4 linked regions of the Arabidopsis thaliana genome follow. The protein of the gene in region 4 interacts with the protein of the main gene of each other region in a biochemical or structural test. Each region holds a gene or a part of one and is shown on either strand. Other genes may lie near its edges.

Region 1 (7,731 bases), on a different chromosome or scaffold from region 4:
GTTGCTTGGAAGTCTTTGCAATCTATGAGTACCATGCAAACATTCGGACACAAGTTAAGCTTGTCCATCAGAAGATTGTCATAAACTTTTCCACTAATTAGGATGCCACAATCATGAAAAACTAATTCACCAACTATAAAATTGTTGGTCGGTAATTGAGTTTTCAGTTAAAGGTTGTAAGTTTGTGTTGTTTCACTCAAGAGGCACAAGTAGAAAGAGACACAAGTATGAAGTGACAGAACTAATTGAGTTGTTGTGTCTATTTGTTTTCTATATAAACACCTTGTATCGTCATGTAAAGATTAACAAGTTTCAGTTTCAATAAAACAAAGTTTTGTTCTTGTCTTCTTCACAAGAGAAGAGATATGTCTCTCTTACTCTGTTTTTCTTCTTTCTCTCAATAAACCAACATGGTATCAGAGCCGATGGTTGTCCTTGGTTGTCTCTACAAAAATAAGATGTGTTCTGCTGCGAAAAGAAAAAGAGAGATGGAGACAACAAATCTATGGTGAGATGAAGAGGAAGAAGAAGAGGGAAGAAGAAGAAATAAGAGGTGGTAACTACAGAGAGTACCATCAGTTTTCACAAACACATTCACATGAAGTACCTTCAAGAGGAAGGCTCCAAAAGCGATGAAGAAGATAGGAAATCTTCTCTAGAGGCAATGGAGAAAACGAATGTGGATTTGGAGTTGTGGAAGGAGAGTTTTGAAAATTTGTTCAACAACGTCTTGGTGAAGCGCAAGACGGCAAAGCCGCTGTTGTAACAAACAGAGCAAGGCTTATTATCAAAACGTTGTGTTGAGTTGTGAAGATGACTACAACACGAAAACGTGGAGAAAAGTTTGCTTCAAAAGGAAGAAACAAACGGGGCGACAAAAGTCAAAAGAAGGCCAAGAAATGGTGTGACATTTGTACGTGTGACGATCACATTGAGGTGATTGTTGGAGAAAGCAACACAGGGATGTTAGCTTGCTTACGTGTGTGAAGCTGCTTACCTAAGAGAGAGGGAGCAGAGTTCAGTTCGGTTGCAAAGGTAGCCGACGAAGACGTGAAGAGATTTTCACGCACAAGACGTCGAAAAGACGTGGTGGTGATCAAAAGAGGACACCATAAGAGGATGCTTACCTCGGAGAAAAATGGAGCACAAGAGGATGCTTACCTCGGAGAAAAATGGAGCATAAGTCGGTTGAAGAGTAAACCAAAGACGACGTGAAGAAGATTCACGCACAAGACGTCATGGAGACGTTATGGTGATCAAAAGAAGACACCGAAGAAGACGTGGAGGAGTTCACGCACAGATTTGGTGATCAAGAGGACACCAAAAGGAAATCAGAAGTAATCTCATTTAAAAGAAAGTGAGTGGAAAAAAAGGTTGTGAGAACAACCGGAGATGACGTGACAAAGCTCACGTGAAAAAAAAAAAAATTTGAAGGTGACAAACGAGAAGCGTTGTGGGAAAGAGAAATCTCAAAAGTGTGCAACGTCAAATACGAGTTGCAACAAGAAGGTGCTTTGTGTGTAACAAGCCAAGGCACGTGGTGAAGAACCTCAAGTTGAAGAAATATCATCATCATGAATGATGAGACATGGAAAAGGGAAATATCCAAGTGATGACAAGCCAAGGAGAGAAGATCATCAAAGAGGTGTTTCTAGTGTCAGATGTCTCATCAATTATCCTCAAGGAAGAAGTATACAGGATATTAAGATCAAGCATAAGAGTTTTTCCATTGAGATGGAGAAAACACAAATGATTTACTTGCAAGGGAAGAAGAAGTAAACAAGGTCAACTTGTGACAAACTGAGAAGGAAGCTAAGTGCAAGACCGAAACTCAATTAAGGGGGAGTGTTGGTCGGTAATTGAGTTTTCAGTTAAAGGTTGTAAGTTTGTGTTGTTTCACTCAAGAGGCACAAGTAGAAAGAGACACAAGTATGAAGTGACAGAACTAATTGAGTTGTTGTGTCTATTTGTTTTCTATATAAACACCTTGTATCGTCATGTAAAGATTAACAAGTTTCAGTTTCAATAAAACAAAGTTTTGTTCTTGTCTTCTTCACAAGAGAAGAGATATGTCTCTCTTACTCTGTTTTTCTTCTTTCTCTCAATAATCCAACAAAAAGCACATCGAGTCACACCCTCTTTATTGGAGAAATCTTCTTCTCCTTGCGGAAATGGCTCCCAAGTTTGAGTCTTTGGGTCGTAAATCTCTCCCCCGTTTACGCCGTTATTGTAAACGCTGCTGAATCCTACGTACACATAGATCTTACCGTCAATTACATTAGCGGCTGCACCTTTTCGAGCTATAAGCATTTTAGGGAGTCGACGCCATTGATGAAATTTACAATCGAGAACATAAGCTCTCCTGCTACTCTTTCCCTTTGCGTCGAATCCGCCAAGCATGTAAATCTCTGAACCAGTAGAGACAAGACAACAGTTGAGCAATTGGGATGTGGGTAAGGAAACGAAGGAAGTGGTATCAGTTTATGTTTGGGAGTTTCGGAAAGTATGAACCAGCTAGGGTTATGGTTGTTATTAAGTTTTAAGCAGACATAGAGGCACCTCTCCGTATTTAGGAAGCGGAATCGTGCGGCTTCGAGATCCGGCGAAGCGACGAGTGATCGGAAACTCTTGGATACGAGAGATAGAATTGGATCATGAGTTCTCGAGACACGAGACAGACAGTTAAGAACAACGTCGTTGGGTAAAGACAAAAACGACTTCGGAGACTTCGATGATGACCTCATATCTTCTTCGGTCGTCATTGTGTTCGTGCCTTGGGATGGGAGGTTTAATTTAGGGTTTATGAGGGCTTTTACCGTAAAATTAATCAAAGAGTTATATTGTAAATGTTTTTATTTTTTTTACAAGTAATTATGAAAACCTTCTTTATCAACGTTTTGGAAAACTTTACGAAATATTTTTATATCCTCTAGATGAATCCAAAAAATATGTGAGTATGTGACGATGGAGACTACTGATACCTTTAATCTAGGATTGAAGTTGTTATCATAGTGAGCTTATGGCGTTTGCTGTTATTTCATAAGAAAGATTGACATGTTACTTTCAATCTCTTCGTTTTTAGTGAACTTTCTCTCTTCTGAGACTCTGTTTCTAATCTCTTGGCGAATTCCCCTAAAACAAGTTGTGTTTCTGCATTACCTTTTTATGATTCTTCCTTAGTTTCATTATACCGTGCACGGGAAGAAACATAGTACATATTCCCTACTCGATAAGCATTTCATTGTCCATCTTGCATACCTATCTGGTGGATCTGCAGTAACTGAATTCTTAAAACGAGTTTGCTCTGTTACAATGATCTGTTGTTTTGTCAAAGAAACACTTCATGCAAGAACCAATTTTAACTCTTAACATGCATACATTGATACATAATTAGCTATATATCTCTTAAGATGATCTTAAGCGGAATGGTCAACTATTGGGAACAGAGACACCTCCCTCGCTTCTACTCTCCATTGCTATAATACATAAATTCTTGACTTGTAGTTTGACCTAAGTGCAAGCCGGAAGTTTGACCGCCGGTAAATACCTTGAGACGAACTGCGACGCCAGTTCTTGGAAATCCCCATCTCCAGTTCCATCTTGAAGTAAATGTTCTTCCCCCCACACACTATCCAAGTTACTCGGTTCCATCGCATATTCATTGTTATGCGCAGGATCAAAAGACGGTGGCTGCATTTGTTGTGGCGACTGTAGAGGAAACCGCTGAATTGTTGAAAGACGAGCTTGAACATGAGCAAGCTCTGCTTGTAGATTCATCACCTAAGGTATACACAGTCTTGCTTGTTAATTAGTTGCTCTGTATATATAATCAGTTGTGTTATAAAAGATGTTTTGATGAAGAACCTGGTGTTGAAGAGAGAAGAGATGGCCAACAGAGCCATAGACAGGATCACGAATCCTTGCCATGGCCTCGTAACAGAGCGTGACGACTGCATCAAGTCTCTTGTGCAGAGGCAATCTCAGTAACATCTTAGAGGCATTGCTGGCCCCAAATACTTTGTGAACTGCTGCAAATCTCGCAGTTCCTTGCTCTGCATCGAAATAAGGAGCGAAAACGCACCCTTTCACACACTTTCTTCTCAAGAACTTGCAAGCCCCGCATGGTCCTTCTCCTCCTCTTCCACCGCCGTTCAAGTTTCCGGTCATCATCTTCAAGTAAAGAGAGAGAGCAAGAGAGGGAGAGATGTATTGAGAGAAGGAGGAGGTTTGTTTATTTACATCAGGCTAACTCAGTGAACTAATTTCAACACTTATAATAAATGAAAAGTGTTTGGGTTTTGACTGTCAATGTAAGTTTCTGTATGCTATTGACTGATCGGCCGCTTATTTATTAATTTCATACTATCTTTTTTATGTATTGGGCTTTACGTGAATACTACTCATGTATATAATTCGTATGAACAATTAATATGGGTTCCAAAATTCGATGTTATAAATGATCTTCTGCTAACATGTTCTATATATTTAGTGTGGAAATTAAACCGATACAAAGCCTAGGAAAGACAATTATTCACAAGATTGTATATTAGCTGAAATATATATGTTATAAAGATATATTCGCAATGATCAAGATCGATATCAAAATGCACATACCATGTGTGATCGATTTAAATAACTCAAAATGCACATAACCCTGAACCCCTTTGCATTTTTTTCAAAGATCACGTACATGTATTCTAGCCCTAGCGGCCCCTCCCCATGCACATTTCTTTTCATGCTATCACATCTCTTGTCACACTCACTCTCTTTCTTTACGTTTATATAAGTGCATATCAGCATATGAATTAAGTCATATGTGTATAGATATCCCCACATGAACTCATAGACATTTAAAATGTAGGAAGGAGAGATCATGAAATGTCTGATTCAGACCATAACCCTATATATAACAGCATATCATCACGAGGGTTTGGTTTAAACCGGACTGCGACAAACGTACGTAGCGGGTGCATAATTGACACTGAAACACACACAAACACAAAAACCATGTAAGTATCAATAAGTTATAGCATTTGTAAGTAAGTGACACAAGACAGCTTAATAATATCTATCTTCTCCGTTCTCCACTATCACAATCACGGTCACAATCACGGTCAAAGTGATTAGTATACGTGCAGAGAGATTTGAAAATCCAATCTATTGACCTTCTTTATTGCCTCTTCTTCCTTTTTGTTTCTGTTCCACCCGACATAAATCACTCTCGATCCAGTCTTCTCTTTTTAGTGTTTCTATTTATTTATACTATGTAAATTAGTTTTAGTTTCGGATTATAACAAAAAAAGTAAAATAAAAAATCTTTTCAAAGAATAATTTAAAATTGCAGTAAGGTTTTGTTAAAATTATTGTAATAATGTTTTAGTATGTAACAAATAGCTCAATAAATCAGCAAAACCTAGCTATAAACCGGTTCTACATACACGTATATGAGGGTTTTAAATCCTAGGAAAACAAATTTTGAAATAAACCAAAGTCACCTAACAAAAAACAATCAAGAAATACTGTTCAATTATAATCCATTTCTGTCAACCATTTTAAAAAAATGTACAAGAAAATACTGAAACCACGCGCTTGAATTCCGAGAGTGAGGAATATCTTTGTTCTCAAAGAATTTCAGTCAAAGAAGCCAACAGAATCGACGGTTGAGATCGATGGAGCAACCGCTAGTACGTTGATCAATACACAAAACAAGCCACGTCGTAAGATCTAGACACGTGGTATGACTTACATCCTCTATGACTTCACTGTCCCATGGAGTCATGGACCTAAGCATTCCAGTCACTTACCTCACCATCCCTTCTCTAATAGTGAACCTATAACAAGCCCTTTTATTGCATCTATGGTCTAACATTTGTATTGCACTGAATATATATTTATACATGTTTCGTAGATTACTAGAATCTGATTGGTTTGGTTACTCGTAATATGATCAGTAGTCTAATTATCTACGAATTTTTACCAACCAGACAAAAAAAAAATACATCATTCCAAAGTTCTTTTAGTTAAAATTTATATGTATTAATTTATTGTGAAAGATACATTGTGACAGGTTTAAAACAGAAATCCAAAATAATTATCGTTAACCGAATGATTTTAGAAAATGTTCAAGGATGGACTATAAGTTAACCGGATATATGTATACATAGAGAGAGAATTATGATAGTCGAACTTGTGGCCCCAAACTAAACATAGAACTACCTTATATTGATCTAAAATATACCTTACTAATGTGGTTTGAGGTTTTCTATGTATAGTTAAGTGATCCGATGCTCAACTATTCTTCTTCTGCTTGGATTTAAGACATTGTTTTTATCTAATTAGGTTTGAGGATTCTCAGATATTAAATTCAATGTAAAAAATATTTTTAAAATATTCAGCATCCATAATATATTCATAAACTTAATTGAGAGTAAGTAGGAAATGAGAGCGTTGGAGAAGAGAATCGCGCCGTTCGGTTCCTTGTCTACTAATCCGTGAATCTCCCCTTACTCTATTAGCCTTAAGCCCCTTAACTCTCAAATGTTTTAGTTTAACGCCCCAAAGTTTCTTATTTTGAACTTGCAGAAATTTCCTTCTTTCTTAAAACAATTATATTACACACTATATACATTTTATATTGATCATTAGTACAATTTACTTAAATGATCTCTTCAAATCTTTCTGTTGTACATCGTCATACTTCTATTTTTCTACATTATCATTATAAAGGCCCATACATTCTGATGATGTACGTCGAAATAAATAATGAGGAATTTTGTGATTTGACCAAAATATTGTCGAATTTGAACTTGCGACCAGAACTATAGATCGAAACTGCCTTACGCCTGAAATGCAACCACTGTCTGAAAATTATCCGACAAGGGGCCAATTATTATATCAAACAACATAAGTTTTCTTTTATAATTTTAAGAAAATAAGTAATGAATTCCATATGCTTGATTTCTTGCTAGTGTTTGACAAAAAAAATTGAAAAAAAAAGATTTCTTGCCAGTTAGCCATTTTCCATCAATTGGACTTAAAATGAACTCATATGTGTGCGTGTGCGTGTGTTTTTGTGTTTGTGGTTACATAAACAAGCTACAAGAATTTTGGGATTGTGTTTATATAATTTATAGTTTAGTTAAACATATACTTACAAAATTTCAAATAGCTATTTAATTCAAGGCAACATTTCTACTTTTAAGGAATCATTTGTCAGTTTATGCAATAGGGAGACAAACCACTTATCGATTAAGTCGTTGGGCCTTAATTACTTAACGTGTAACCATGGAAACTTTAACAATTTATTCCGAATAGATATTCAACTTAGCTATAGGTTTTCAGTTCCTGATGACTTATTCTAAAACGCTACATGTTTTGATCAAAAGTTTCATTGTAACCCATATTGTCCGATACATATGATTTTTTTCGATAAATCCTACAGATGATATATTACCAAGAAAAAGAAAAAACAGGTTGTAGTTGCTATGAATAAATGACCAACCAGGTGAAGTTACCCTAACTAGATTGTATTGCTACGTACATTTGTGAAAACATTAAGCATATTTAATAAAAGATTAGTAGTATAGTTGTATCATCAGCTTCCACTTGAACTCTTAAATCAATCGCTGTGCCTTGTTTTTAGGCGACACCGTATAATTTTCTAATAATATTTTTTAGTAGATATTGACCAGTGGATTTTAGAGTTCAAAGGAATAATAGGGTCGTAGGATG
Region 2 (7,662 bases), 2.9 Mb from region 4:
GAAAGAAAAAAAAAATTAAACAATTTTTCTAACTAGACCTTGTTTAGACTCCTATAAATTGCTCTAGACATGTTAGGTCCCTACAGAACACCTAATTACATTCTAACAATTTTTTGAACATTGGATCCAACACGAAATCAAAGTAAGCCAGAATTGAATGTACTCGATTATTATATTTTGCATATACGGCGTTGAACATATTGGAATTTGATAGATCTTTTAAACAATTTGTAACACATGTGTAAGTGTGTGACCTTTCAATATAAAACACCAATATATCAATCACTCTATCAGAAGTCCATTTCCGTTCTCCGGTTGGCCCATAGCAAAACACTATGCACGTACAAGAATCTATTATTATATAGCGCATACTTACAAAATCTAATGTCTCTGTAGTTACTAATATATGATACAAGTTCAACGGTTGCTGTTAAGAAAATTAGGCATGTATATTGCCAAAAAGATATATACATTGTACAACACCATTGGTCCAAAACTTATGAAGTAATGAAAATCCAAAATTCCAAATGCAAATAATCTCAAATAAAAATCTAAAATTCCAAAATATATATATTCTTATTTTTTTATTTTTTACAAAATGTAAACTCACACAGAAACGGAAACATAAGGTTTGCCTAAAATACTATAAGATATTAGTTAATTTAGAAAATAGATACTAAATTAAATAGAGAAACCTCACAAACAAGAGAACACAAACGTTTATAAACACTAATCAAAGATCACAGTCTCTCCATCGAACAAATTCCAAAGTTGCTCAACGTCAAACGCCAAAGTGCCCTCCTTTTCTGTTGCCGCCGCTTCTGTAACCAGCACATCTACCTCTTGGCCCTCGTCTAGCAAACGCTCCAACCATATATTATCTCCAACCATAAAATTATCCACAAAATCATCTTTCTCATCATCTTTGTTACATGTGATACTATTTTCACAAACATTATCGTTGTCGAGTCCAAGGCATGGAGGAATTACACCAACTTCAGACTGTCCATCGAGATGGTTGCAGCCGGTTTTTATAGAGAAGAATCGAGGCCGAGGCTAAAAAATATCGACTTTTTGGGCCGGTGTATTAGGAGGGGTTATAATATTTATCCTTTTTATCTTAGTTTTACAACACGGTTCATGCTTCTTACTCAGATGGGTGTTCCAGTAGTTCTTGACATCATTAGCGGTCCGACCAGGTAATCGACCAGCAATCAAGGACCACCTACGTATACATACGAGTTACTAGTATTAGACTTATTGCTCGTTAAATAAGTAGAATAAAGTAAATTATACCTATTTCCTAGAAGCTTATGAAGACGAAGAAGAAGATCAACTTCATCAGAACTAAATTTTCCTCTCTTGATACTTGGCTTCAAATAGTTTAACCATCTTAGTCTACAACTTTTCCTGCACCGATTTAGCCCTACAAAACCAATAATTGACATTAGTTAAACCTAAGAAGATTGCTGTCTCTTTCTATAATTTTATCATAAAGAATCTATGCACACCAATAGAAACAATGTACTATACACACATACGCACGTGTTCGTATAAAAACTTTCACTAAATTCATTTATGAATTAGAAGACAAACCAATCGTAGAATTAAACGACTTTTCGGAAGTTCGCATTTTGTTTTTAGAATATGTAACGTAGATAAACATAGAACATTTTAAAAAAAAAAAAAAAAAAAAATCTTCCTCTAAGTTCAACATTAAAGTTTCCAATAGTTGGTCGGTATATTGAATACCGGATCAAAATCTAACGAGTCTGTATATTATTTCATCGTTCACTCCGATATATTCCGGAACAACTTCGGACCAACCCCGGTCTATATATGTTAATACGTAATGAACAGTAAATGCATACCAAAATATTACTATTTAACATATCAAAATGTTGGTCTGATCATTAGTCTAATATAGAGCATACAACACAACCAGTCAAAGTCTAAGTATGATTTTATGAACAGTGTAAAGAAATTTTCATGATTATGTGTTTAGATACATACCAGCTCTTAAAGGAACTTGATGCCATTTGCCTTCTCCATACTTACCAATACACTGCCTCAAGAGACTATCTTCTTCAGCAGTCCATGCACCTTTCCTCAACCCTTTGGACGAACCCTCCATGGACCAAAGATAGATATCTAAGCAAACTATAAGAAAAGGATTGAGATAGGTATATATTGTGACTTCAGAGATCCTTGGAGGAGTAGAGAGTGTGAGTATCTGAGCGGAAATATATACACACGTGACGGGCTTAGGAAAGTGACGTGCATGTGTAATATCCACATTTCTGTTTTACATGTCGTGCTTTATTTGCTAAGTTATTGTTTGGTTTCTGATTTGACTAGAGAAATGGTTCATAGACACCTAACTTGTCTCTTCATCCTTTTTCTGTACTTCAAAACATGCAAAAATGAAAAAATAGGAGAATTGATGGCAGATGGTCTATATATATGAGGAGGCTATTTTTCTCTTGTTTTTCTTTCATTTACAGATTATTGGAGTGTTTTTATCCACTGCAGATCTCACAAACTTTGAATTCTTAACACTAATGTACATATTCATCAAGTGATTTTTTTTTTTCCATTTAGCAGAATTGAACTTCCCCACTCTAGCCTTCATCTTTTGATCGCTTTACCCTTAATTCATCTTCATCTTATTAGTGTATACTGTTTGTTTAGTATAAAAGTATTTCTTTGTAACACATCTCCTCAGAAACCTCAAGGGGGACTAAGAATATATTATATCAATATTTTCTTGTTATAAATAATTGAAGGACCAAAAAATAATAAAATAATAATAATAATTGAAGAATTTATGTCACAAAAATATTTCATGAAATTTTTTTATCTAGTAAAAAAATATCTAGTACATAACTCTTGACCCACATAACGGTCAAAATTCAGGCTTCCTACAACATACATATTTCATGAAGATTTCTACAATATCTAAAAAGGTAACCCAAGACCTGATCACAAAATATTCAACAAGTCATAGTGTGTAGCAGGTATGATATAACATAAAAACTAATTTGATTTATTCCAGATACCTCTAAAATAATATATTCTAGATTATGATTAAAATATATAATTTGATTTTGGTGAAACAAGTATGATATAACATAAAAACTAAGACAGAATATCCTTTAACAAAAACTAAAATAATATTAATTCTTTTTTGTTAGCGCAAAACACACCAATTATGTAATTTTATGATATAGGATAGCACTGGTGATGATTAGCTGATATTTTGTAGAATATTTTTGAAGGAAATAGTAAGAATTTTTTTAACTTTTCAAGTGAAACCAACGTGTATGCTCATCGTCCACAAACAATTTTCCACATGAGACATAATTTCATAAAAGCTATAAGGTGTGAAGTCATTTCTTTCAAGATTTTCCAGAACAAAAATAATCATACACTGTAAGGAAAATTTCCTTTTGAAGTGATAGATATTTATCATACATTTTTAGAATTTTATATTTTCTTTTCAACCGACGTCATAGTAATTAATACCAGATGAACGAGACTAGTATGGATTTGGGAGAATTTCAAGGAATAAACTTCACTTTACTGACACAAAGTTTTATAGATTTTCTGAAGAATAATTTACTTGGAAGTTTCACGTTTAAGTTTTTTCTCAAAGAATGCTAAATTTATGAATCTTTTAGAAAAATCTGACTTACACACTTGTATGTGTGTAACCTTTAATAAGAAAACACTATTCAATCACAAGTTCCTTTCCGATCCTCCGGTGGTTATGTTTGCCAAAACCCATGTGTTAAATTGATATATAATAGAATATAATAATAATAGATCTGATTGATAACATAAATTAGTTGAAACTGTAAGTTATTTTGAAACAATGTAAAACTGTAAAAAATAGTTATACGAAAAAGTTGTACAATAAAACTAAAAATAAAAAATATTATAATGATTTTGATAAAAAAAATTGTGAATGATAAATATCGAAAATATACAAAAAAAATATATCGTTTTGATAGTAGTTTATCATTCAAAGCTAATAAAAACAACGATAATGGTAAGTTTTAAGAATTTTTGTTTTTTTCCAATGCATGTTTAGTGTATACTATGCAACCGACATGGATCCAAAGGACATCAACATTATTTGCGTTAGAAAACTGTTGTTGTTTTCTTTTAAGAGGAAAAGTCAAAACCAATTGATATAATAAATATATTGATCCATATGATATCACTCAAAGTTCTTTCTTGATTTTAATGTGCGAGATAGCTCACATGTCTCCTTAAAATAATCAATGACCCTTCTAATTATTAATTTCGACAAAATCTCATCATAATTAAAATTGATTTCGGTTTAGATCAATCGGACCAATTTTGAGTCTGCTTAATTTCAGATCGGATTGAATGGACCCACTTTGAGGCATGCATCCATTTGTTCGAGTTGGAGGAACGTGTGTCTCCATCGGAGAAGAAGAAGAATTGTTTTTCTTTCTTTCTTTTTTTAGTTTTTTTTTCTTACTTTTTTCTCTTTTAGTTTATTGCAGCTTACTCTGATCCTAATTATCTAGGTCAATTTAAAACGTAGTATTGTAGATAAAAAAAAATTACGATTCATGTAGTTTTTTTGGAGAATTGAACTTTCTGACGTTGGTTTAGAAAAGACCATAAATTTGTAAATAAAAAGCAAAAAAAAACATAAGTAGAAACATCCCTTTCTTCACTCTCATCGCATCACCTCATACAACACAATATAAGTAGAAACGACTCTCATATTATCTCCTAATGAACCATTAGACGTTATCTTCTCGGGTTTGAATTCGTGTTAAGTTATATTGTAACAAATGCTGCCACCTTTGATATGAATTTAATAATACAATTTTTAAAAATTGCAATATAAAAAACATCCACAGAAACATAAATACACACGTGCAAACAAAAATGGGGAGCAACACTAATTCAGTTCTAAAGTCTCTTCATCAAACCGAGCCCAAATTTGCTCAAAGTCAAGCGGTAAGGTCACACCCTTTGCTGTTTCCGTAGCTTCTGGACCCAACACATCTGCCTCCAGTAAACTTTCCCACCACATATTATCTCCATCCAATAGATTAATATTAATAAGCTTATCTTTTTGCTCATCTTTGTTACATGTAATACTACTTTCACAAACATAATTGTTGTTGAGTCCAAGATGTAAAGGAACAACGTCAACTTTTGGCAAGATATTGACATCGTTGCAACTATTTTTATCGGAGAAGGATCGAGGCCGAGGCTTTAAAACATCGATTTTTTGGGCCGATGAAGTAGGATGAGAAGTAATGTTTTTGTTTATCATCTTCGTCTTACAGCATCGTTCATCGTGCTTCTTACTCAAATGAGTGTTCCAGTAATTCTTGACATCATTAGCAGTCCGACCAGGCAATCTACCAGCGATCAAGGACCACCTAAACATTGTGAAACAATATACATGAGAGTTTCTAGTATTGAACCGCGATCCCTAAAGAAATAGTATTGACTATCGAGAAAACAATACCTATTTCCTAGAAGTTTATGAAGGCGAAGAACAAGATCAACTTCATCGGAGCAGAGTTTTCCTCTCTTAATACTTGGCTTCAAATAATTCAACCATCTAAGTCTACAACTCTTTCGGCACCGATTGAGACCTATAAAACCAAAAGTCGAATTTACTATACCTACTTAGATTTCTTTTGTACCTCCTTTATCTTTATCATGAAGAATATATGCACACCAATCGATATAAATAGTATTTTCATGAACCACCTTAAAAAGCATGAAACAAATACCAGTTCTTAAAGGAACTCGATGCCATTTGCCTTCTCCATACTTATCAATGCATTGCCTCAAGAGAATATCTTCTTCAGTAGTCCATGTACCTTTTCTCAACCCTTTGGGTGATTCGCCCATGGAGCAAAGATAATAGAAAATTATCTCACAAATTTTATAAAATTTATATATATGGCATGTGTGAAGCCTTCACAAATTATTGGAGGTTTTATATAGAGAGTGCAGTGACTGCCATATTTTATATCCACGTTTAATTCATGCTGAATTTGCTAAAAATTAGTTTGTTTTGCTATTGTTTAGACAAGAGAAATGGTTCACTGCACTTAGCAGCCAGACTCTTCGTTCTTTTTAATTACGTATAATAATAACAATGTCAATAAATCTGTTTTGTACTTCTACATGGTTGTCTTTCTATTGCAACATTTCTTCAAAATATTACAAAAAAAAGAAACTAAAGTTAAAAAGTTATAATAATGTTTTGTTAAAAAGTTATGTATGTTCAACTAAAGTTATATATTTTCATTTTCTGGTTATTTTTGATTACTAAAATATGTTTAAATAAAATTGCAACAGATTAATTGAACTGTTATAACATTTGATCTATATGGACGAATCATTGCAACTTTTGATTTTGTTTTATGAGCCGTTGTAATTTTTTTTATTTAATAAACTTTTAATTATCTACTGTTGCGTATTTCGGTATAACTTTTTATATAATTTAGAAATATTTATTTATTTAAATAAAGTTGTAATCGTTATTCGACGAATCATTGTAATATTTGATTTTATTTTATAGACCCATGTAATTCTTAGTTTATTTTGACTGAGCATTGTAACTTTTATAATATTTAATATATACGACCTCATCACTCTGTATAAATTGTTATATAACTAATTTTTAAAACTAAAATATATATTTAAATAAATTATTGCAACCGGTTTATTGAATCAATGCAACATTTAGTTCTTAAGTTAAGTAATTATGTGCATTCTTAATGTGAATTAGTCCTTGTGGTTCTACTCTTAATTGCTTCATCGATAAGATCGCTAGTGCATTAAGATTATTAATTGAGTAAATCACTACATCAGTTTGTGTTATTGTTTTCGCCGTATCATCACAGGAATTTCTTGTAGTATAGAGTCGATCTAGAAAGCAACATCCTCCGCATCATCAGTCAAGGCGCCGGAGACATCGATCCACTCAAGCTGCAGCTCTATCTCCCCTCGTTCAACATTCTGAAGCTTAAGGAACATGTTCTGGACAATCTTTCCTTTGTGCCATACAATCTTGCTCTCTTCTGACAAGCAGTTTTGTCTGCTTGCCTGTATCTTCATTATTACAGTCCCCTCAGGTAGTCCTCCTAGTTGGTTTTGGATTCTGATGGCTTCAAGGAACGGATCAATGTGAAAAATCGCATCTCCCATCTTATCATCCCTTGAGAACCTGTCCCTATCGTACACCATCTGTTTATAACAAAAAAAAAACACCAATTTTTCTTGTTAAGTCTTGTTTCAAACTTCCAAATATAAAGAATCCATATTGTGGTCTAATCTAATGTATCGTGTTTGATTTGGTTGTAATGTCGAAATCACTTACGATCTTGACAGGAAGAGTTGGATCAGTAACAGAAAGTGTCAAGTCTTCGTTCCATTCTGTATTCAAATTCTTTTTCATCACACGGGTTCGTAGCTTCTGCGTCCAGAAAGAGTCATAACATAACCATATAAGATAAATAGATTATACACAAATAAGAAATGCACGAACAAATCAAAAACTTGTTGAAAATGCTTTTCATTTTTAGCTACTTTTTTTTTTGTAGAAATCAATTCCTAGGAATTTCTCATTAGCCGGTAATTTAACTTTGACAG
Region 3 (8,804 bases), on a different chromosome or scaffold from region 4:
TACGAGGTTGTAATTTCATGTAAGTTATAGTAGATATTGTACTGTTGTGGATTGTGTTGATGTTTGTGTGGGCTTGTTAGTGTTTTATCGTATTGACAACTAGCTATGCACAAATCTAGTTGTCAGTACATGATTTGATTGGGTAGATATCTAATATCTAGTATCTGATGAGGGGAGGAGGTTTAGAGCATCTCCAGATCAGTAGAAATTTCATTTAAGAGTTTTTATCAATCTATTTAGTTTTAAGTAATAAATAAGACAGAAGTAATTATACATTTAAAATCATGAAGAAATAGTGAAAACTTTGTTAAGAACTCTGCGATGGGAGTACTTTTAGGGTTTGGTTATCTTGGTTTAGTTTTGGTTTGGGGACTGCATTTTGCAATTGCTTTCTCTAGCTCATCATTATTTACCAAATTCCTCTTGTTAATTGAGTCACGTCTTCATTAACCATGTTTTTTTTTCTGTTGGCTCAGCAGTATGCATTCTAATTGGATTTGAAAGGTGAACATAGAATCAATATTTAAAGGGGGTGCAAGCAAGTGATCGGTAAGCTGAACCTATTAAAATCTCATATTTCCTTCTTAATTACTGATATCCTCCATTAATACCCCCGACTAATATTTTCTTATGTATCCATTCCATTCTGTTTGCGCGTACGTAAATATCTTTTTTCAATGTTTTGTCGTTCCTCCTTTTTACATCTTTTATCAATTTTATTATATTTTCTACAAATCACAAATTAATTATTAAGGTTTTAGTATCTCATTTCATACGACATATTTGTTTTCACCTATATATGCAGCCATGCAGGATCTTTTAATCGAAAGAGTTCACCTCGCCACAAAAAAAAAGTTAATACTACTATTTATTTCTTAGGTTGTAGCCTTGTAGGTCATTGCTCTTATTTTAATATAATTAGATTAAAAAAATAGACATGTCACATGTTCTCTATTTCTTCAAACATCTTGATTATGATATCTAAATTCTAAAGTTTTCAATTATTTTGTTATCTATGTTATAAATATATACGTTAACACAATTAAGAATATACGAATATTTGAAATCATCACGATGGATTTGTAAGATTATTTTATATGTTTTTACAAAAATGTAGCCTAATCAATATCTTTTTTCTAGGTCTCCATGGACACTATACGTACACTCGAGTGCTGAGGGAACAAGCAAACACGATGGCATCGTCTGTGTATCGTACTTAGAGGAAAAGCTGCATGCATGTATTCTCTTTTTTTTCCCTCAACAGCATTTTTTCACATACAAATAGATCTATATATATATATATACATATATATCTTACTATTTTTTTTTTTATCTTACTATTAAAAAAAAAAAGCAGAAAATTCTTAAAGAAAAGAAAGTGCTGAATGTTGATGATACTTAAAATACAATTGACATATTGTAAAACGAAATGAAAAGCTACATGAAAATATGATAATATATATATATATATATATATATATATATACATTTTTAACACATTTTGGCAAAAAATTCATTTGGCTTATGCATTTATTGTAATTCTCTTGACATTAAATGATTTGTGTCTGTATTATATATTTTCGAAGTCCAACAAACTACGATTTACAAATACTTAAAACTGTTATTTTCCAGGTCCATATGGACTTTTACATATAGATCCACTACTTTCGTCATTAGATAAGCCCAATTACAACAAAAACGTTGGCAACACTCTCACATTACTATTCTTCATTTGTTTTATATATTTGGTAAGACAATCATTAATGCTTTCACAAAATTGCAAAATTTTCTGACTAAATTTATTCCATAAAATTCATTCCAAATTCATTCCAGTAAAATTGAAATTTTTAAACAATAATATTATTACAAAAAAATGCTGTTTAATTTCACATGATAGAGTTATATGGTAGAACGGTTTGGATTGATATTATGGAATATATACCACGCGTAAAATCTTAAAATTAAATATAAAAATATATTTCTATAATCCTAAACTTTAAACAATATTATATTAGTCCACGATTATAAATGTTTACCAAAATTAGTACTATATCACTTTTACAATAAATTATTATATAAAATACATAAAATAAAAATATTGCCCCGCGGTTAAATCCTAGTAGAATAGAGGAGAAACATACTATTTTCCCACTAATTAAGTTACCAAAAAATCTATTCAAACATTTCTCAATTGGAGACTACAACCATGGAAATTCTCCCCGTTCAACCTCTTATCCTAGGCTTTTCTTATATAAGACCACACCTAGGATGCTTAGTTTTCACACCACAAAGAAAAAAACAATTCCAAGTGATCCTTAGCCATGGCTCGGAAAAAAGTACGAGCTGCATGGATCCGTGACGATAGGATGAGGAGGGCAAGCCTCAAGAGGAGGTTAACGGGGCTTATCAAAAAAGTGAATGAACTGTCCATTCTGTGCGATATGCGCGCTAGTGTGGTCGTTTTCAATCGAGAAGAAGAACAATTGACGGCGTGGCCATCTCCCGAGGCAGCTAATTCACTCATCGACAACTTTTATTCTCTAACCGACCATGAAAGGACCATGAAGGCCGTTGATCCGGAGTCATACGTCCAGACCGTTATCGAAAAGATTGAGAAGAAACGAGCCGATACTCGGAAGGTTATCACGGAGTTTGAGATGGACGAACTCATGTTCCAAGTCCAAAATGGTCGTGAACTTGCTGATCTCTCCCCAACCGAGGCTGATAAACTAATACCATATGCGGATAAGAAACTTATGTGGTTGAGTAAACGGATGGGTTCTACGGGGGTCGACGCCCTGAGGGCTTCGAATGTTGCGTCTGGGTCAGGTGGAAATGGGTTAAACATGATGGAAACTGGAAGAAGTTTCTATTATGTTGATAAATGGGTCTTCGTTGATCCACAAGTCCAAAACCCTTGTGATGTTGAGACTCATTTACCCACAATGGTCAGTGGCTTAGACCTAAACATGGAACCATCTGATGAAGACTTGGGGACCTATAAAGGAGAGAGCAGCATGGCCGGTGGTGCTGAAGACGATGCCGAATGAAGCTGCCGTCAAAGTTGACATGACAACTTGTCTTGAAGTTTTCTTGAAATAATTAATGTTGTTCTTTTTCTATTATTGTTGTTTTTCTTGCTCGTTTCGTATCTCTAGTTTTTCTATGTTTTGGTCAAGTTTTTATCATGTCTCTTGTTATGTGTTAAACTCTTGTATTTGCTTGTCATGTCAACTTAATTTTAATCGAATGTTTGTTTCTTTACTATTCTTTGCAGTTTTGAAGAACTCATCCGTATTTAACAAATTTGTGCAAAATGTTAGGGCATTTTTTTTTAACTTTTCCTAATTTTTCTAGAGCATCGTATTTTAATAAGATAATCATTGTCATGCTATGCACGTAAATTATTAGAGATATTATCATTCTCATGCATCGTACATAGTTTTGTTCATTTTTGGACGCATTTTGAAACTTAAAATGAAACATCTATATGCTACGTTTTATTATCTATTTATGGTCAACACTTATATTTTCCTTAATATAATCAATTCATTTGTTCTCCTATAACAAATTATTTTAATTACTATGGACTTGTATCCTATTAATTTGTGTTAGTGTTTTTATTGTATTATTACCCATTCAACCCCCAAAATTGCAAGTTGTTTGCAAGAGAAATTATTCTCATTTTAACGACTAAGTCGCTTGGCTCATGCACCTTAATTCAATTGCATTCAAAAATAAGAAACTTTAATGTGAAAAATGTTTAAACTTTAGAAGCTAATGAATATATTTACTTATTATTTTCTTTGTTTGACCTCTCTTTATTATCAATTAAAGTAATAAGTTTGACTATCTCTAAATAATGAAATGTTATGATATCATAAAAGGAATGCATGACCCAAATGTAGGAATAAGAATTTATGGGGCATGCATATCTAGTTTTCTATATAAACCAATATACATATCATAAAAATAATTAAAAGGAAATATCTTAATTACTGTATTTAAGAAGTAAAAGAAAAGAAATCTTGGTGTATTTTTTAAGAAATAAAAGGAAAGATATCATTTTATTTTCTTTGACAGCTCATCAGGTTATTTTCTCAAAAGGGCAGATGATAAAGTTAGGATAAGTGTCAAAGAATACTTATGTTAAATTTAGAAGGAATGATATCATATATAGGATATTTTCCTCAAATTGATGAGTGTTGAAATGAGGTTCATTTGATGGGCCGATTTAATCCGACCTAAGTAACTACCCAATTGAGTTGGGTATGTAGCTATGATGGGCCGATTCAAATATGGCTCAGAGGCACTAGCACTAGTAGTAGCATAGTTGTTGTAGAAAAATAGGGCTTAAAATGGGCCTTCATTAATGAGCTTATTATGTCGGTCCATCTGAAAGGAGTTTTTTTTTTTTTTTTTTTGTGTTTCAACTTTTTTCTCAGAATGTTGTCAACCAATCAGAGTATTCAAACGGTAGAAGCCATACTCATAACAGAGTAAAATATATTGTTTGGCTAAAGAAACATCGGTGAACACTCAAATTTAATCAGAAGGGAACAAAAAACAAACTTGACGACAAAGCAGTACTAGTAGTACTGTTACTTGATGGAGATGATTATGAATGAAGTGGGATCATTGCAGCTTGTGGAGAGAGCACGTCAAGCCAACGCTACAGTTAACTAGAGCAATAATTCTGTCTCTTTTATTTTTATGTCACCTACTACTACTAAAGAAAACATTTTCTAATAAATATTATAAAACAAAAAATACTCGCATGAAAGTTGAAGGTGATTGGTTGATGAAGCTATTGTTGTTTCCATTACACTTGTTCACTCATCTCTTTCTCTCTCCTTCTCTCTGCGGATCTTTGTTTCTAATTTGGAACCGACATAGCTCCCAACTAATAGGAATCTCAAGCTTCTCACTCTCTCTTGTGTAAGTTTCTTCTACTTATGTTTTCTTTACTCCATTTTGGATTCTTCTTCTCTTTATTGTGTCCTCGAGTATCTATTGTGGATCTTGTCTAGCATTTTTCACATTAATGTTTCGTTTGACGATTTGATTTTTGGGTCTACTTTTATAGTTTCTCCCAAATTTTCTTTCTTTAGACAACAAAGTCTGTTTCTTGACTGTGAACTTGAGATGGGTTCGTGTGCTTTGCTTTTAAAACTAAAGTCTAAAAATTCTTTCCTTGTTAAGAGTTTTTACACAACTAAGAGAAGTCTTTTAGTTGTTGACTTTTTTTTTTAGCTTGTTCAACAGATATTTTGTGGCTCTCTTTCAGTTTTCCATTGGACTTTTGGAACATAAGCTATGCAAACTGAGGAGCTTTTGTCGCCACCACAGACTCCTTGGTGGAATGCTTTTGGATCTCAGCCGTTGACTACAGAGAGCCTTTCCGGCGAAGCTTCTGATTCATTCACCGGAGTTAAGGCAGTTACTACGGAGGCAGAACAAGGTGTGGTGGATAAACAAACTTCTACAACTCTCTTCACTTTCTCACCTGGTAAACTCTCTCAACTTTCATATGTAATGGGAGCTTTCGGATTGTTCTTACTGAATTCTCTAAGTGGGTATCAATTAGCCTTGAAAGAAGACATTACCTCTCTGTTTCTTGCACATTACAGAGTGAATGCAAATGTTTGAAGGTGATTTTATTTATGCTGTCATTGATTTAGGTGGTGAAAAGAGTTCAAGAGATGTGCCAAAGCCTCATGTTGCTTTCGCGATGCAATCAGCTTGCTTCGAGTTTGGATTTGCTCAGCCAATGGTAGAGTTCTCTTGCAGTGGAACATCACAAAGAAAAACTTTCATTTCCCTTTAATTGTTTTCTTGAGTATTTGCTGTGTTTTGTTTTCATTGTAGATGTACACAAAGCATCCTCATGTTGAACAATACTATGGAGTTGTTTCAGCATACGGATCTCAGAGGTCTTCGGGCCGAGTAATGATTCCACTGAAGATGGAGACAGAAGAAGATGGTACCATCTATGTGAACTCAAAGCAGTACCATGGAATTATCAGGCGACGCCAGTCCCGAGCAAAGGCTGAAAAACTGAGTAGATGCCGTAAGGTAACTTATTGAAACTATCTGATCATTTTTTCAGTTATGCATTCAAAAAATGTTGCCTTATGTTATGATGTTTCAGCCATATATGCATCACTCACGCCATCTCCATGCTATGCGCCGTCCTAGAGGATCTGGCGGGCGTTTCTTGAACACCAAGACAGCTGATGCGGCTAAGCAGTCTAAGCCGAGTAATTCTCAGAGTTCTGAAGTCTTTCATCCGGAAAATGAGACCATAAACTCATCGAGGGAAGCAAATGAGTCAAATCTCTCGGATTCTGCAGTTACAAGTATGGATTACTTTCTAAGTTCGTCGGCTTATTCTCCTGGTGGCATGGTCATGCCTATCAAGTGGAATGCAGCAGCAATGGATATTGGCTGCTGCAAACTTAATATATGATCAGCAGATAGGGGACAAGACATGATTTGGTTCACCAGTCTTTTGTCTTGTCCCTTATCTTTCAGCCAAACGGAAAGAGAACTTGTGTCTTGGAAAAAAGACATTGAGTTTCCTTGGTTTATAAGATTGGTCCTTTTACCATCCGTTTGGCTGTAAACAGGCAAATCATCTTTGGCTCATGCTTCATCAAGTTCTTATCTTCGTCTGTTTTCTTCTACGCATCTTCATAAGATCTCTGAACTAGTGAATAACATTTCCTAGCATCATGTTTCAACTAGTGTGTGTTGTAAGAAACTCTGCCTTATTTCCAGATGATGTATTGTGTGTAACGTGTTTATGAAACAAACGTAAGACTTTCAAGTTAATGTGGTTTTTATGTAACAAAGTTAAAAGACTTTATTTCCATTGTCTATTCTCATCCTGATACTGTGTAAGAAGAAGCTTGTGGTTTATGTAACAAAGTAAAAGCCAAACTTCAATAAAAAAAAAGAGCTAAAGCACATATTAAACAGATGTTTAAGATTAGAGAGACAAAAACTTGCCTCAGAACTAGCTGCCAATCCAGAACAAACTTAAAGTCAATTTAAAGATTAGTATTAAAGAGAAGTTTGAAAACCATTTCCCTGCATTCTCCCACCATGCACCTTCTGTTTCTCTTCTATTTGTTTGCTGGAATTTGGATCCCCCCAGCTGTTTTATCCTTCAAACTTGCCACGTTGTCCGGTAACGACTGCCCTGTGAAGTCAATGACTTGCCATTCATCATCGATGGTAGAGGAATCCTGAAAATGTATGACTGCCATGATTAGATACAAGTCAAGTTGAGAAACAAAAGACTCTAAGAATCAGAACATTAAACAATTACCGGATGTTGATCAGCAAGAACAGGTGATGACTCGTTTTTTAGAGGCAGTGGTAGTGGAGGAGACGTTTCAGGCGTATGTGGTGGTTGCATTTGTGTTGAAAGGTGTTGAGGTTGTGGGACGTTAGCAGAATAGTCTGCATCCTCCAAACGAGCAAAACAGTCAAGCAAATCAATCATATCAATATCCACTCCCTCCTCTCGCTTTTCCAATTGAAGACAACTGAGAAAACCATCAACAACGGTCGCCGTACAATCATCACTCTTGCTCAGCATTTTGGAAGGCATTAAAACCCTTGAATACGCAATAACAAGCCCATTGTAAAAACTGAACCTGCTATTATTAGTTGACTCCAAAAACTTAAACTGAGGGTTCCCAACCACTCTCTTCCTCAAACCCTGCACAAAATTCATCCCGTACCGCGCCATAAACTGTGCTGTGAGCTTAATAATACCAAGCTCCTTGAGTGTGATCTCCTTTTCAGGGAATTCAAATCCAAAACCGAAAGATCTCAGAACATTAGGTTGGATATCGTGAGCTCTATCTTGATTCTGAGCACGGTATTCTGCAAGCTTGAGCTGATAAAATGCGTGATAAGGGTCAGTGCTCCACACAAATCTGTGTCTTGCATCATTCATACTAAGTTCCATCATCTTTCTTTCAATCTCCAACCCATTTTTGGAAACAATAAGTGCAGTGTTCTCGACACAACTTCTGATTTCTGGAGGTGGCTCAATAGGTGCCACACTCGCAGGAGCTTTATTTGAATTGCTTTGACCCGATTGCAAATCATTCTGTGGCCTAGGAGGTGACATCATCCTCACTGGAGGAGAACATGAAGGTTGAGGAACTTGAAGTTGAGTAAACTGAGATCCCAGTTGAGGCATAATTAGCGGTGGTACTGTTGGCATCATTGGATGGTATTGTTCAGGTCGTGGTTGCAACACGCCACCGTCCACGTTAGCAAAAAACTCTAAAGCATGCAAATCAGTCAAAGCCATCTCCACTGCATCTTTCTTTTCAACAACTTGATCAAGAAGCTTGAGAAAACCAACAACAACTTCCCCCAAACCAGCACCATTCTTTCTGGAACGCCTTAACACTCTCGAATACCCATCAACAAGCCGCAAGTAAAAAGAGCACTTGCTATCAGTTGACTTAAAAAAGTCAAATTTAGGGCTTATAAACACTCTCTTCATCAATTCTGTCCGAAAAAGGGTCCCATAAACTGCCACAAACTGTGCTGTGAGCTTAATAGTATCAAGCTCATTGCGCGTGAACGTTACCCCTCTAGTAAGGAATGCAAACTTGACAGGAGCCGGAGCTCGTAAATCATTAATGGACATGTTAGCAAAGTATTCATAAGCATGCAAATCAGTCATAGCCATCTCCACGTCATCCTCATCCTTTACAGGCACTTGAGCAATAAGCTTGGAGAAACCATCAAAAACTTCACTCTTCGTCTTCAGCTTT
Region 4 (8,521 bases):
CATATTGATCAAACGAGGCTTCAGCTCCATAATCCAGAGTCTTGGAAGCACCAGGAATCGCCTGCACTAGCTTGAACGCCTTGTTATCTGATTCATCCATGTGAGAATAACAGAAAGACCAGAGAAGCTGAACCGGTTCACTCTTGAGAAACTTTCTCTGCTTTCTTCTCCCATTTGGAAATCGAACGCTGATACTACAGACAACGCTTCGATCACAGTCTCCTTTAGGCTCTTTTGTCAAAACTGGGAACTCAAACAGGTCGCTTGACAAACAAGTTTCCTCCTCATCTTCGGATAAAGTCACTACATCATCAAATTCTCGCCCGCAAGAAGAAACCACGACGCTATCTGATGACAAATTCCCCTTATGTATGAGATTTAAGTCTTTTCATCAGCTGCCTCATCAAAATCGTCAAAATCATCGTCCGTAAAACCAACCATGTCTTGTTGATCAGAGTGGCAAATCTTTTCTGCTTTTACGCGCATGTTCCTTGCCGTAGAAGCAATATGTTCGTGAGGACTAGCATCAATATACTTCTTCAAATCCTTAAGAAAACCCTTAGCTTTAATCTCGCCCCTCCATATACATATATTCTGGCCAGTAATCGGATCGATAAGGACTAAGGAGCAGCATAGGAGGAGCACAGTGTTGGATCATATAGAAGCTAGTGATTTTTCTTCCTTCACTGGTATGATCATAAACTTGCCATAACATAAACCTAAACTCAAGGGCTTGAGAAACGTCTTCGTTTGACCATAAATCTCGGTTAAATGTATTACAAGGAAACTCAGTTTCGGATTGGATATGAACAAGCAACCATAGATCTTTGCTAGAAGAAGCTAGTTTCGCGTCTTCGAACGAACCATTAAAAAGCAGATTTAGAGGAGGAGGAGGAGACAAGGAAGGCAATCTAGTAGAGTCGGAAGGTTTTAGTGTCAAAGTTTGATTATTTCTCATTCTGTCGATGGCAAATAAGAGATTGATGGCATCTTCAAGCTTCCAATTTGTAGACTTTAGACACTTTATAGCGGTTTCCACAGTTTGATCTACAGAGATATTGAGGAAAGCTGAGACCAGTGTTCTCTGATAGTTACTCTCCATTGTTTTGCCGTTCAAAGAGAAAGAGAGAACAAATTTGTATGAGTTTTAATCTTTTGTTTTGTACGTCTTTGCTTCTATTTCTTTGTTTATATAGAGAACTTGATAGTATTGTTTTTCTTCCTTTTTTCACTCCAATTTGGTTCGAGAAAAAATCGGAAATTTCCTTATCACTTTTTTGTTTTGTTTATAATAACTTTATCGTTTTTTACTTAAACTTTATCGGTCTATGCCTATAAAATAATTCAATGAACTTTTTTTTAAATCACGCTAAACTTTTTACAATTGGAATTTTTTTTAGTTACATATTGATAAATATTAGGATTCATCCCGCGGTACACGGCAAGCGTAGGTTTTTATTCGGTTTCCATATTATATTAGAATGTATTATTTGTTATTTAACAAAAAATATAAATTTTTATTGTTGTTGATTAAATATTAATTAGTAGAAGTAATTATTAATGGGGTTTTCTAAAAAATGTTAAATATGAGTATTATTTGTTTTAAATTTGTTAATTTGCAAAAAATCCTAGGATATATTAACTTGAATATCTTCTTGATTAAATTTGTGAAACATTCATTTTGATTAATTAATTTCTTTTCTTTTGATTAATTAGTTTTTTAAAAGGAAAAATGTTATTGAAAGAAATCTTAAAGTTAAATGACTTTCTCAAATCAATTACTATTGGTAGCAGAGGGGGAGAACCAATCAAGCCCTAATTCCTTTAGAAAACCCTTTTAACAATCAAAATAGTATTGGTCAAACAATATTTCTGCATTAATTAGTTTTTTCATATTTAGCAAAAAAGAATTAATTAAAAAATTCATCCCTATTCGACTTCACTTTCTCTCTCTGCCTGAAAATTTTGATCGGTTTCTGGTTTCTCGGCGAAAGAAGTAAAGTGGCCGACAAATAGTGATCTCGTGAAGGAATCAGTGTGTACAGTGGAAGAAGATGATACATTTGGCTGGATTTACATGTTGCTTAGGCGGCGTCGCTCTTTATCTTCTTACCAGGAGCACAGGCAGGTTAGGTTTTTTTTCTTGTCTTTACTATTTACGAATTACGATAACTAGGGTTTACTGTTATTCGGTGGTAATGTTCTTCTTTCGTGGGACAGAGATATCAAATCAATCACTAGGGTTTACCAACTCAAGGATTTGGGTAATGTTCCTGCATTGTTCTGCATTTCAATTTTAGGTGGATGGGTTTTGGTTATGTGTTTGATATCATTCGTTTTTATTCAGAACAATTAGTAGAAGTAGAGAGCAAGGTGGTACCTTTGATCATCGCAGTATCAGGAGATGTTGGCTCTGAGACTCCTATTAAGTGTGAGCATAGTTATGTTCTCGGTGTATTTCTCAAGAGAACGGTATGTATGAATTGGATTAGATAATCTAGTTTTTCGTTTCTGTGATTTTGGATATGTTAAAAAGAAACGATTTTTTTCAGGCAGAACAACAGGTTTTGAGACGTAATTGGAGATTTTCATGGGTTCGAAATAGTACATTGATGCAGCCGATGACTAAGGAAGTCCCCTGGTATCTGGTATGTCTGTTGGACTTTGATTGGAGTGTATTACTTTCTAAAGTCATTTACAAAATATGATATTGGTTGCCTATAGGACGACGGGACAGGTCGTGTGAATGTAGATGTATCTCAAGGTGAATTAGGCTTGGCGTTGACGGTTGGTAGTGATGTATTTGAAAAGGCAGAGCCGGTATCGCTTGTTCAAGGAGCGTTGGGTTATCTTAAAGGCTTTAAGGTCTTTTCTTTTCCTTTCCTACCACTTTTCATTGATTTGCTTTTGTTTTGACAATGCTTATACATTGTGGCACCATTGTTGTCTATAGATACTTGGAGTAAGACACGTTGAGCGTGTTGTCCCAATTGGTACACCGCTTACAGTTGTTGGTGAGGTATGTCTTTTATCTGTTAGCGGTCCAAAATACGTTTTATATCTCTCTTTGTTATGTTGCTTACCATGTTAACAGGCTGTTAGGGATGGCATGGGGAATGTCAGGATTCAAAAACCTGAGCAAGGACCTTTCTACGTCACTTATATACCGCTAGATCAGCTCATCTCTAAATTGGGAGATTTGTCAAGGTTGTTTCTTTTCTCTGTTTTTGCCTATTCTTTTCTTCGAAAACTATGATTGAAAAAAATTCTAAAAGATCTCTTTCTTTTGGCAGGAGGTTCAAGTATGCCTCCATGGGTTTAACTGTTCTTGGTGTGATTCTTATTTCAAAGCCTGTGATTGAATATATTCTAAAGAGAATTGAAGATACTCTAGAAAGAAGGCGGCGACAATTCGCACTGAAAAGGTATGACGCACCCTAACCACAGCCACGTATGAAGTATTCATTGCGAGTTGCGAGTTGCGAGTTAAGTGTTGGGTAACTTGTTGCAGAGTTGTTGATGCAGCTGCTAGGAGAGCCAAACCAGTAACTGGAGGTAGTAATAGTATCTATCCATTAGAGTTTGTACTTTGTAGTAGTAACATGTGAATCCTTTTTCTGCATACACTTGGAATTGCTCTGCTTACAAAAACGTCTTACCAGGTGGTACAAGCAGAGATGGTGATACACCTGATCTCTGTGTGGTTTGCCTTGACCAGAAGTATAACACCGCTTTTGTTGAGTAAGTATAAGACCGCTTTTCTTCTAAAAGCTCTTGAAAACCCTCTCACTGATCAAACATGGCATCTTTTGATTCCTCTTTTTGTTTGGTTTGGACTTGTAGGTGTGGTCATATGTGCTGCTGCACACCATGCTCCTTGCAACTAAGGACCTGTCCTCTTTGCCGGGAACGAATACAACAAGTTTTGAAAATTTACCGCCATTGAAGGACAAAACTCAGAACGATTTTTACAAGCGAACAATTACTAGTCTTGTACATATAGTAAAGCCTTTGTATCATGAGTTTTTGACTAGAAATTTTTTTGCATTGATAGATTGTGATTGAACAAATGCTAATATAAATTTCAAGCTTAGATTTACATTTACTAATGAAGTTATATAATCACGTTTCGATGTTAAAATAAGAAGTGAAAAAACGTGAACGGCAGGATTCGAACCTGCGCGGGCAAAGCCCACATGATTTCTAGTCATGCCCGATAACCACTCCGGCACGTCCACTTTTTGTTAATTCCTCACTATCTTAAATATCTAATTACCGTTAATTATTACAAATCAGGTTGGGCTTAATTAAGCCCAAAGTTAAAGACAGATTAGTGAAGGAGACAGAGAAAGAAACAGCTCTAAAATGGTAATGAACGAGAAACTAGAGAGTCAACGGTCATAGCGTTGACCAAATCTCTCACTCTCACCAGCCAAATCTCTCCAACTTCCTCTTTCTCTCCACCCAAATCTCGCCGGCGATCGTCACTGACGAATCTGATTCGTCCCCAACACTCAACGGGTAAGCTCTCTCTGCAAAATTCAGATCGTTCTAGCTCAATCTCAACATCGGATCAAGATTCAACTTTTGTTCTTTTCTCTTAAACAAAGCTTTTGATCATTAGTGAAATCTAAAATATTAACCTTTGAATCTGTAAACTTAAGCTTAGAGAACCCTAAGATCAAAACTAAAAATTTGATCTTTCATTGTCACTTGTTGGAAGCAATTCAAAATTCTGTGTTGTGTATATTTTCAAATTTGTGGATTGTTCCAATTTCGATAAAGTTTTGATTTTTATTCCTTTTGTTGTGTGTTTTTATAAGGAGGTAGAAGAATGGCGACTCCTGTTGATCCACCTAATGGAATTAGGAATCAAGGGAAGCATTACTTCTCAATGTGGCAAACACTTTTCGAGATCGATACCAAATACGTGCCTATCAAACCGATAGGCCGAGGCGCGTACGGTGTGGTTTGCTCTTCGGTTAACAGAGAGAGTAATGAGAGAGTGGCGATCAAGAAGATCCACAATGTGTTTGAGAATAGGATTGATGCGTTGAGGACTCTTAGGGAGCTCAAGCTTCTACGTCATCTTCGACATGAGAATGTGGTTGCTCTTAAAGATGTAATGATGGCTAATCATAAGAGAAGCTTTAAGGATGTTTATCTTGTTTATGAGCTTATGGATACTGATCTTCATCAGATTATTAAGTCTTCTCAAGTTCTAAGTAATGACCATTGCCAATACTTCTTGTTCCAGGTATGTGATTTGTTTGCATTTGCTTTTACCATTAGTGTGTGTTGTTTGCATTTGGTGTTTGCATTTACTTGCTTTTTATTTCTTTTGCATAGTTGCTTCGAGGGCTCAAGTATATTCATTCAGCAAACATTCTCCATCGGGATCTGAAACCCGGTAACCTCCTTGTGAATGCAAACTGCGACTTAAAGATATGTGACTTTGGGCTAGCGAGGACGAGCAACACCAAAGGTCAGTTCATGACTGAATATGTTGTGACTAGATGGTACCGAGCACCAGAGCTACTCCTCTGTTGTGACAACTATGGAACCTCCATTGATGTCTGGTCAGTCGGTTGCATATTCGCCGAGCTTCTTGGAAGAAAACCAGTATTCCCGGGAACAGAATGTCTAAACCAGATTAAACTCATCATTAACATTTTGGGTAGCCAGAGAGAGGAAGATCTCGAGTTTATAGATAACCCAAAAGCCAAAAGATACATAGAATCACTCCCTTACTCACCAGGGATATCATTCTCTCGTCTTTACCCGGGTGCAAATGTTTTAGCCATTGATCTGCTTCAGAAAATGCTCGTTCTTGACCCTTCGAAAAGGATTAGTGTCACGGAAGCGCTTCAACATCCTTACATGGCGCCTTTATATGACCCGAGTGCAAATCCTCCTGCTCAAGTTCCTATTGATCTCGATGTAGATGAAGACGAGGATTTGGGAGCAGAGATGATAAGAGAATTAATGTGGAAGGAAATGATTCATTATCATCCAGAAGCTGCTACCATAAACAACAATGAGGTCTCTGAGTTTTGAGATCAAGTCTTTTGCAGGTACTGTTCAGAGAGATCTTTCAACAACTTAAACTTATTTATTTTCATGTTTGCTTCTTGAAATGTTGTTAATAATAGTGTCGAAGAAGAAGAACAATAACTTTAAATTATGTGATATGTTTGTGTCATGGAGCTTTGTTTTGTTTTTGGTTACAAGCTTAAGTGTCTGTAACGTTTGTACATAAGTGTATGTGTCCTTAAAACTTCATACTCTGTCTCTGATCTTATTGTTGGTGATTTTTCTTATTGAAGATTTTCGAATGTTCAAAGAGCAAACCATTGGATTAAATATGATTTTGAAGATAAATGTATTAACACAAAGATATACACTGTTTAAAAAAATTCATGAAATAAAACATATGCATAGAATATCAAAATAAAATTATTTGGGAAATAATTTTCAATGATACATAGAATGTTCCATAGATTCGTAGAATTTTTATAAATGTGTTTTTGACTTTCATGTACCTAATTCTGAATTCAGACTTAGTATATTGTGACATTAATAGAAGTATTAATTGCTTTGTTTGATAAAAATATTTTGATGTCTATCACACACTTAAATTTAACTTAAATGATAGAAAAAATGTCAATAATTAGTAACATTTATGCTTTGGAAAAATATTTTGATGAACAGCGTGTGAATAAGAATCTTTTTTTACTTTTGTAAATGGAAAAATGTAGGACTGCACTAATTATTGAAACCATTGATGTGAAAAAAAAATCAAGAGCCAAAGAGATAAAGATTCTAGAAGACCAAGTCAAGTCTTCTCGTCGATTAATAGTCAATGAATGTTCCTCATCATCATCTCTTTGATTTATGCGTTTGATGTCATTGAGTCATTTCTATACCATTCCGCCAAAAATTCGTTTTAGTTATCCATATGAAATTGCGGTTGGACTATTAAGTCTATAATTTGATTAAACTAATAAGCATATGATGATGAAGCAGTTTATACTTGTAAATCCTCTATTTTATCCAAAACTTATGATCAAATGATAGAACTAGGATGCAATGTTCAATCTCCTTTGGAGGGACCAAAATCTGCCACAAGACACACCACTTGCTTGGTATTTAATTTTCCTTTTTATCTTTCCATCTTCTCCTTTAGGATACAGGGGATGTCTCATGAAATGATGTATAGTTTATAAAATTATCTCTAAAGTCTAAACACAGAGTGGCAAACCGAAAATATTATATAAAACACGTAGTATCGAGCAAAACAACACTTAATTGTGTCACATGTGACATGTGCATACATAATAATACAGAAAACTTAACTAATAAAGCCACCAACATTATGTGAACAATGGTATCAAGCTTTCGAGCTAAGTTAACGAACCTAACTCGTGATTAAATAATGATTATTACTAAATTCAGGGAAAACACTTTTATAAACAAAAATATAATTTGCAAAAATATTATAACTTGCTTTACCCGATGGTAATTTCTGTTTACAAACCTGTATATTTCTAAATGCCCTTCCTATAATACACACACATACACATCAAATTAGTTGCCATGCACACATCAAATAAATTGCCAAAAACATCAATATCTATACATTAAATCATAAATACTTGGAAAACTCCAACTAGCTTTTGGTTATAAAATTACTAAATATAGTTTAAAATAATACATCCGTCGTGGAAATTTATGAAAGATAGACTTCTTTTTTAGCTTATGCCCCAAGGAAGTCAATCAATAAGACCAACGTTATCAACATACGTGATCGATGATGTTCTTTTATTCCTGGAAACTTCTTATAATCACCCACACAAAAACAAAAAAAAAAACAAAATATTAAATACAAAATTCTGAGATCTTGACATTTTGACCAAGTTGTAACGCTTCATCATCTGATCCGGTCAAATTCTTAAATCCTTTTTCTATAGTATTACAATAAAGAAAATATTATTGTCGCGTGAAATCTTTTAAAATATTAATACAAATCACGTCTATTAATAACAAGGTCGTCACTCTTGTCTCCAAAACAAATCTTCATTAACCAAAACCAAAAAAAAAAACTTGAAACTCTCTGAATCTCACAAGAACATTGCAAGGTAAAGAAACCACAAGATCATCACTCGAAGTAAAAATGGTGAGCCCATTTAGATCTCCATGTTCTTCACCCAAAAAATCAAGAAAAGCAAGCAAGAACCCTTATTCAAATCGTGGACTTGATAAATTCTCTGAGCTTCTCTCCGAGCTAGACGAGAAGAGGCAAAGCATCTACTCGAAGAAGCTCGATTCCGGTGGCCCGCCTCTTGTTCGATTTGTGTTCACAAGCTCCGGTGAGTGTGTCCCCGTTGTGATCAGATCATCTTATCTTCACAAGAAGAACAAGAAGACGAAAGATGTTGTAGCTGATAAAGTCAAAACAGAAGTCAAGGAAGCAAAAACAGAGGAAATCAAGAACACAGAGCCTGAAACAGAGCAAAAACAG

Evidence for each region.
Region 1: of the proteins of MPK2 (region 4) and LBD19, one has a biochemical effect on the other in vitro, tested with the Arabidopsis thaliana proteins (one large-scale study listed by BioGRID).
Region 2: of the proteins of MPK2 (region 4) and MYB113, one has a biochemical effect on the other in vitro, tested with the Arabidopsis thaliana proteins (one large-scale study listed by BioGRID).
Region 3: of the proteins of MPK2 (region 4) and NF-YA10, one has a biochemical effect on the other in vitro, tested with the Arabidopsis thaliana proteins (one large-scale study listed by BioGRID).

The regions. Positions count from the first base shown.
Region 1 is NC_003071.7:18,708,939-18,716,669, forward strand, and holds LBD19 (LOB domain-containing protein 19), read right to left. Parts: upstream 4,274-7,731; 5' UTR 4,171-4,273; coding exon 3,865-4,170; intron 3,781-3,864; coding exon 3,511-3,780; 3' UTR 3,282-3,510; downstream 1-3,281. Other genes in the region: AT2G45403 (uncharacterized protein), read left to right, coding at 599-733, 814-936, 1,009-1,215; AT2G45405 (uncharacterized protein), read left to right, coding at 1,579-1,779; AT2G45406 (Galactose oxidase/kelch repeat superfamily protein), read right to left, coding at 2,023-2,400.
Region 2 is NC_003070.9:24,751,885-24,759,546, reverse strand, and holds MYB113 (myb domain protein 113), read right to left. Parts: upstream 5,959-7,662; 5' UTR 5,914-5,958; coding exon 5,793-5,913; intron 5,652-5,792; coding exon 5,522-5,651; intron 5,433-5,521; coding exon 4,943-5,432; 3' UTR 4,786-4,942; downstream 1-4,785. Other genes in the region: MYB114 (myb domain protein 114), read right to left, coding at 1,057-1,225, 1,297-1,426, 2,014-2,134; AT1G66360 (Calcium-dependent lipid-binding (CaLB domain) family protein), read right to left, coding at 6,940-7,257, 7,391-7,486. UniProt on the Arabidopsis thaliana protein: Transcription activator, when associated with BHLH002/EGL3/MYC146, BHLH012/MYC1, or BHLH042/TT8.
Region 3 is NC_003076.8:1,980,123-1,988,926, forward strand, and holds NF-YA10 (nuclear factor Y, subunit A10), read left to right. Parts: upstream 1-4,700; 5' UTR 4,701-4,938; intron 4,939-4,979; exon of another isoform or gene 4,980-5,287; 5' UTR 5,288-5,316; coding exon 5,317-5,509; exon of another isoform or gene 5,510-5,635; coding exon of another isoform or gene 5,636-5,681; coding exon 5,682-5,773; exon of another isoform or gene 5,774-5,868; coding exon 5,869-6,075; intron 6,076-6,151; coding exon 6,152-6,469; 3' UTR 6,470-6,942; downstream 6,943-8,804. Other genes in the region: AGL96 (AGAMOUS-like 96), read left to right, coding at 2,322-3,050; AT5G06520 (SWAP (Suppressor-of-White-APricot)/surp domain-containing protein), read right to left, coding at 7,128-7,250, 7,334-8,804.
Region 4 is NC_003070.9:21,879,687-21,888,207, forward strand, and holds MPK2 (mitogen-activated protein kinase homolog 2), read left to right. Parts: upstream 1-4,331; 5' UTR 4,332-4,521; intron 4,522-4,823; 5' UTR 4,824-4,834; coding exon 4,835-5,257; intron 5,258-5,349; coding exon 5,350-6,057; 3' UTR 6,058-6,365; downstream 6,366-8,521. Other genes in the region: AT1G59550 (UBX domain-containing protein), read right to left, coding at 1-364, 439-577, 720-1,102; ZCF61 (E3 Ubiquitin ligase family protein), read left to right, coding at 2,055-2,128, 2,221-2,264, 2,348-2,472, 2,553-2,648, 2,725-2,865, 2,954-3,019, 3,095-3,207, 3,294-3,425 and 3 more; ZCF37, read left to right, coding at 8,174-8,521.